Linked DNA regions of Daphnia pulex. The protein of the gene in region 2 purifies or fractionates together with the protein of the main gene of each other region. This does not show direct contact. Links are inferred from orthologs where the notes say so. Each region holds a gene or a part of one and is shown on either strand. Other genes may lie near its edges.

Region 1 (3,227 bases), on a different chromosome or scaffold from region 2:
CCCACAGAACGCGCTGTATCAGTCGCCTCAGGTAATACTGCCCGTACAAAACAATTGTCAACTATTTTCCTAATGCCTTTTGCCAATGTGGTCTTGCCAAATTAAATTTCACAGGCGTTGTATTTGGAGGATGGAACCATGTTACCGGATCCCAGTTCAACATCACGGCCCCCGCGCCCTAACAGCATTGAAGTGAAACGTAATTACCCTAGCGAAGAGGCCATCTACGCATCCAGGAACTCGCGTAATCCGCAAGACAATGTGTACAGGTCGGTTAAATCACACGTTTTTTTACTTTTGTTGGCTGTCTGTCAAATGAAATTGATGTTGTCAACGTGTGAGAGGGTGTTGGCGTCAATTTTATTTGTTCCCAACAATTGTCATCGGTCTCTTTGCCTCTATCGTGTGCTTGGAATTTCACATTTTAAAAATGTTGTCGCTTCATGGCTTGTCTCCATCTGTCGCTGGCGTCCGACGCTTTTTACAGACCTGCCGGAATTTCTCTGCCGCCTCCGCCTTACGACGACGGCTACCCGCAGTATCCGCCTCCGCCTTACACTGCCGATTCGCTGCTGCAGCTTCAGCAGCAGCAGCAGCAGCAACTGCATCATCAGGCACAATATCACCAGCACGCAGCTGCCGCAGCATCCAGTCACTATGGCCCTGGAATGATGAATCACCACAACCGGACGTTGCAACGGACCACATCAGGAAGGCCCACGCAGCCTCCACCAGCCCCACCCGGGTAAACTAACCAAATAACCCAATAGAAGAGATACTGTAGATAACTCACTCATTATTACTCCAGTGTCACTTTATTGATCTCGTTACATCACGAATTTGTCGTCTCATCATTTGTTCATATTGTCTGTCGAGCTTTGCTTTGCTACGCTTAATTGATTAAGCTGCGTCTTCTTAATGTCGTACCGTTTACGCTTTGATGAAAAATATTGAATAATCATGAACTAACAGTCTGGTTGAATCCGGCAGGCAAATGAATCACTCGCCCAACACGACGCAGCAGAGTGGGTCGACACCGACCAGAAATCGCATGAGCCATCAGACGTCCATTGTTGGAACTATGGGTAGAGAATCGCTTCCGCCACCACCTCCACCACCGTCAGAGACCTATTCCAGCGCTGATAGGCTGTCGCAACTGCCCAATCCGCCGTACATCTCGTCCGTCATGGTCAACTCGGGTCCTCCATCAAGCACTCCTCCTCCTCCTCCACCACCACCTCTGCCACCTTCCGCTATGCTGATGCCACCGCGTGAGAGCCGCGAAAGCTCTTCCGAATCTGATTTGCCGCTCCCACCGCCTCCTCCGCTTCCTGATACCGCCCCGCCCGACATGCGAATGGCTCCTCCACCGCCGCCACCGCCGCCGCCGATGCCACTCAGCAGCCCACCGCGTGACAATGGTCACGTTGTGGCTAATGGCGATATCAACAAATTGTCGAGCACTTCGCCGCCCAAAGGATCACCAGGAAGGGGAGTGGTTGAAGCGATTCAATCATCGCCTCTGTTGTTGCAAGCGGCCAAATTGACCCCCCGTGGACCTCCTATTCCTGTTCCAGCGCTTGATGGACGGAGTGACCTTCTTAAGGCCATTCGAGATGGTAATTTAAATTTGAGTCGGTTATTGACTCAAAACGAAACTAAAAACTGGTTTACTCTTTTTTTTTTTGTAGGTATATCGTTACGTAAAGTAGAGAAGGGACAGCAACAGCAAGGTGAAAAGGGTCGAATGGATGCTCTTCACGATGTCGCCTCTATTCTAGCCCGTCGAGTGGCTATGGAGATTTCTGATTCCGAGTCAGGTTCTGACTCTGGTTCTGGGTCAGATTGGGATGATGAGACCAGGTATGATTAAATATATCTTCTTGTGGGTTATCGGTTCACAACTAATTTTTGGATCTTTTGTAACACAAGTGCTTGATGATTGTATACCTTACACGGTGCTCCGTTCTGGTGCAATTAACCTCCATTTGGACTTGAATGGAAAGAAGAAGAGTGGAATGATGCATTTTTCCACGAGACATGAATGAGACAGAAATAAACGCCATTGAGCAGATGATATTTAGACTCACCAATTTTGCGAAAACACAACAACAAACTTAAGGCGATGGGTTGTCGATTGCGTTGTTAAATCCAATCTTCGTGGCCTCCCAGCATAAATTCCAAATCTCCTAAATGGCACAAAACAATCGCATTTCCTTGAAGAATACACACACACACACACACTATCAGCAGTGTTAGTCACTTGTTTCCCCCTTACCTTCTCGTCCATTTCCCTCTATAAAATAAAGTAAAGAAAAAGAAAAGACAACACACCCCTTTAACAAATATTTGTACAGTTGAGCGTCATTTTTTTTTCTTCTTCTTCTTCTTCATTCATCAGCCAGGAGCTGGGCTTTCGTGTATTTCTGCTTTCGTTTCATATCTTTTCATGTATTCTCTGTCAATGTGCAAGTTCACTCTTCTTTATTTACCTGATTGAACCTGTTCGCATCGAATCTTGCCCTCTTCCCATTAATAATTAGCATATAATGTAGCTTCTGTACACCCCCCCCCCCCCCCACTGTGTTTTGACTCCCATCCTTTCGTGTCTGTTCAACTTACTCATATCTAAACTTTTAACTAATTAGATGCGAACCTCGCCCAACAAATGAGTGTATAACAGTGATGATTTAGGAATAAACTACAAGACCATTTTTCGGTTATTTCGTCCTCATTTGAATCAGTTAGCATTTTGGCGTCTTTAAGGAAAATAATCCGGCACAATGCACGGTTTCGAAATTTTGCTTCCTGCTGTTTCGATTACCAATGTTGGGAAATTATCTCGGAATGTCAAATGTGTTTTTATCTATTTTATTTCAGACTTTTTTTTGGGTTTTTCTCATGAAATATGTAGCAGGAAACCCCAAAAATATTTTTTTATGTATTGTATTTTTAATACTATTTAATATCATTATATTTCAACGTATTTATTTGGTTTAAAGTTTAAACTCTTTTTTATTCGTACCGTGTCGTGCCTTGCGTAAGGTATTTTTACATTTTTATTGCAACTCTTAGCCGCTAGATGGCTGTGTTCGATCAGCTGTTTGCTTGCAGAGAAACTCTTCAGAAAGTGGTAAAAGTGACACAAAACAGTTGTTCTGGGACTGTTGTTAAGAGTGAAAGCAGGTGAACGAGCTACCTGTCATACATATTGTATAGCTTTCTTA
Region 2 (3,756 bases):
TAGTTCCAGAAAAAAGAATTTTTATGAAATTGGTCGATTGCCATAAGGTATGATCCATCAATGTCTTTACGTAGCGTTCGCTTTCCACCAGATTTGTCAGCTATTAACGACTCTAGCATAGTGCGAACCATGTAAAGTTGGGTCGAAGAAGGTCCTGTAAAATAAAGGCAGAATGTCCGTAAAGAAGAAGCGTCTTTTGTTTGATTTTTTGACATACCAACATTTCGTCGTGGAACTTGAATATCAAACCCATTATCAGGATCTTTTTTCCCTTTAGTAGCTGGGTCGTCCTGTGGCTCAGTGCCTCTAATCCAATCCGCACAGGTTTCTCGGACTGAGACGATAATGCTAAAACAACCTCAGTTACTAACAGTCCCAGTTTACACTGCAGATCTTTCAACTCTCTGTCTCTTACCTGCGAATTAAGTCTTTCTTATTTTTGATTGCCTTTCTTAGGGGCTCACGCAAACTAAGCTGAACAAAATCTTGTAATTCAGCGTAGACATGTCGACGTATAGCGTCCGCAAATACCGTTTCCATTCTGGCCATGAGAACTTGTAATCCCTTTATCATGGCAATGATTTCAATGAGAGCAAATTTCTCCTCTTCGGTGTAATTGTATCGGGTAGCCTATCCGTAAATGGGCTTATTTAAAAACAAATTCAATTTTAAATAACATGTTAACAAGCCTTACGCGTTCATATTCTTCTGCTTCTGCGGGGCAGTCTTTATTCTGGTGATGGTCTGTAGGATGCAGGAGTTTCCACTAATTACACAAATGAATTTCTTAGTTGAAATTAATTAAAAAAAAAAAAAATAACTACAAGTCTTACAGAATAAAGTTCAGTAACTATGCTGGTCCATTCAGACAGCAGCTGTAGCCCACGAAGAGCAAGCTCCATCATTTCTTTCATCTCCTCCGGGGAGCGCGTTTCTTTATAAGTAGTTGTGACCTGTTTTACAAAAATTATTTTTAAGACCATTACGCATTATTTCCTCTATGACATTAGTTTACTTCGTTGCTATAGCGTGCCAGTTCGCTCGTAAATTTAACGTGATCTTCACGGATTTGTGGCAAATGAACCATTAAATCAGCCTGAGGTGAAGGTAGAGTTGCACCACACAAGGGCCATCGTGAAGCATCGTAGGTTTTTGACCGCTTGATATAATTAAATGGAGCAATTTGCATGTCACCAAACAGAGGGACAACCTCCAGATTCTGTAAAAATAAACAAAAGGTTTAATAATAGTCTATGAAATAAAATCAAAAGAGCCAACAAACTTTAAAAATTTTGTCGATTTTGTCGAGTCTAATTCGCTTTTTGTGATCTAGTTTGGAAATGTTTATCTGACATATTTCAGAATCCATGAGAAACAATCCAAAACCGAGAACTTTGACCAGCATATGTTTTTCTTCCGGAAGAAGGTACATGCGAGTTTCCAGCATATGAACGGCCAAGTTGATTACATCGGCAAGCAACTCCTCATAACTAAATGAAGCATTTTTAAAAATGTTATTAATTAGTCGTTATCAGTTTCATAAAAATAAAGCCGCATTACGATGGAATTTTTTCGAGAGCTTCTTTAAGTGAATCGCGAATTTTGTTTTGGGTAGCTAGAAACATCGACAGATTTTGGGATTCTTGTAACGCTTGCTGATCTGTCATCACCTTAAGGAACTGGGCAGCTCTAATAGAATACATCAATAGGTATCTTTATTTATTTTTTAATGGTGGAGAGAATAATATTTGACTTACCTGCGGTATGCAGAGTAATCGTTTTTTACACTAGACTTCATGTTTTTCAATTCATCCAGAACAGCAAACATATTAATGAATTTTCCCAGAGTGAGAAGATAAGCTTCAGAAACAAAATCTTTACGCTTTTCCGTATGGGAAAGTCGTTTCACTTCTGCACTGAAGCGCTCGATTGCTTTTCTCTGAAATTAAGTAATTCAACCTTTGTCAGTTAACTGAAAAAACATACAAACAATTTAAATTCATTGAGTATATTATACTTACTTGAAAATACATGAAATTTAACAGCTTGTTGACTTCTGGAGCCAGGACCTGAACTGTTTTTTCGTATATCTCAACTCTGTTGGGTTGTTCATTTGACTTAGGCTGCGGAATTGCTCTTGAACAGCATCTCCAAGTGTACAGCATTACAGCATGCTCTTGACCTTCTTGAAGCATATCATTCTAAAACAAAGTATTACAAAATTAATATTTGAAACACAAAGTTTAGTCATTCTCATTGTAGCTATTGCTTACCAGGCTTGCGTGAACAGTTGCCTCTTCTATGTATTTCGCAACTCCTGTTACAAAGGCAGTTCGATCTTCAAAATTGGTATCAAAGTTTGCTTGATAAATAACTGAACAAGCCTGAGCTTCGATACATGGTTGTTGATCTGGAAGTGGCAATTCATCTAGCACTTCAACGTTAGATAACGCATCGGCGAGTGTAACTTTCTCGGTAGCCATGTTGTAGCATAACCCAAGTCACTGATTGAATAGATTTTGAAATTAAGTAATAAGCAGACGTTGTTTACTTTAATGGCAATCAACCAACGCTTGTGTTATTACCCAGAAACGGATGTCATCAACAACAATGCACTGAAAAGTCAAACTCAACAAACTTGGCAGACGCCCTTATTTTTGGTCCAATCTTTTGCTTGAAATGTTTCAAAATTCTAACGCTAGATGCTTTGTGGCGTTGCAATCTTCACCAGTGACCAGTGAACGGAAACGCATGAAAACTTTTCCTGCGTTCTGAAAAACGGAACCCCCCAAGTGGTGAGGAACGGATTCGTTTCCGTTCACTGAGGTACGAAGGCGATAGCATGTGCTAAGCACAGTGCTACCCTTTATAATATGCATCTTTTCTTCTTCTCTGTTTCACCGATAGTTTTTTTTTTAATAATCATTTGATATTATTTTTCCACTTGTAAAACATTTTGGTCATAAAATGGAAAAATAAATAAATAAATAGAAAGATAAACATCAAACTGTTGTTGCTGCTATGGCATCGGGGATGGATAACCTTGGTTAGCTGAAAAGGGAAGAGTCATACCTTGAATACTAATTACTAATCGTCAACATCAATGCCGTCTATCCACATCCCATTTTTCTTTCTACTCTCTCCTTTATACGTTATAATAATAATACAATAAGTAAATTTATTTATATTTATTCATTCGACTCCTCTACTGTGCTCCTCATTCTTTTGTTTTCTTTTTTATTTTAGTGGTTTTTAGAGAACCCCATCTCACGTGTTGATTCTTCGACAGAAAGACTAACCAAATTCGTCCTCTCCTCGCACATACCAAATAATCGAAATCTGAATTCAGGGAATTAACTACAAGTTTTTTTGTTTTGTTTTTTTTTAATTCAAGTCGGATTGAGGCATCTCGGACTTTCTGCCAATTTTGCTTTCCTTCTTCCTTGATTGTTGTCTTGTTCGTGAGTGTAAATTAATTTCAACAAATAGAGGGTTGAGTAAATGGACTCTATAACCTTTCCGTCCATGATAAACCCAGCAGCTTATTTACGTATGAGAAACTAGATTCGACTACATCAATTTTATTTATTTACAATTATTTTTTGATGTAATTAAAAAAAAACGAAATAAGATAAGAGAATAAGAAGAATAGTTTTATTATTTTACAACACCAGTTCTACTATTCACACGTGCGCTAACAATTGTGATTAAGAAATATTTAAACAAGTACTTCCATATAAAAATAATCTAAAATTG

What was found. The genes of interacting proteins can lie anywhere in the genome.
Region 1: the proteins of cytoplasmic FMR1-interacting protein-like (region 2) and uncharacterized protein LOC124196242 purify together in Drosophila melanogaster (affinity purification with mass spectrometry; 3 studies listed by BioGRID, with this or other methods). This does not show direct contact. The link is inferred for Daphnia pulex from reciprocal best matches to the Drosophila melanogaster genes Cyfip and SCAR.

What each region holds. Positions count from the first base shown.
Region 1 is NC_060022.1:714,686-717,912, reverse strand, and holds the end of uncharacterized protein LOC124196242, read left to right. Parts: coding exon 1-31; intron 32-114; coding exon 115-269; intron 270-487; coding exon 488-745; intron 746-990; coding exon 991-1,619; intron 1,620-1,691; coding exon 1,692-1,863; intron 1,864-1,932; coding exon 1,933-1,939; 3' UTR 1,940-2,714; downstream 2,715-3,227.
Region 2 is NC_060025.1:3,988,995-3,992,750, reverse strand, and holds the start of cytoplasmic FMR1-interacting protein-like, read right to left. Parts: upstream 2,698-3,756; 5' UTR 2,586-2,697; exon of another isoform or gene 2,505-2,585; 5' UTR 2,484-2,504; coding exon 2,274-2,483; intron 2,202-2,273; coding exon 2,022-2,201; intron 1,940-2,021; coding exon 1,758-1,939; intron 1,690-1,757; coding exon 1,561-1,689; intron 1,491-1,560; coding exon 1,283-1,490; intron 1,220-1,282; coding exon 1,016-1,219; intron 954-1,015; coding exon 834-953; intron 767-833; coding exon 695-766; intron 631-694; coding exon 416-630; intron 349-415; coding exon 218-348; intron 155-217; coding exon 1-154. UniProt on the Drosophila melanogaster protein: Plays a role in guidance and morphology of central and peripheral axons and in synaptic morphology. Also required for formation of cell membrane protrusions and for bristle development.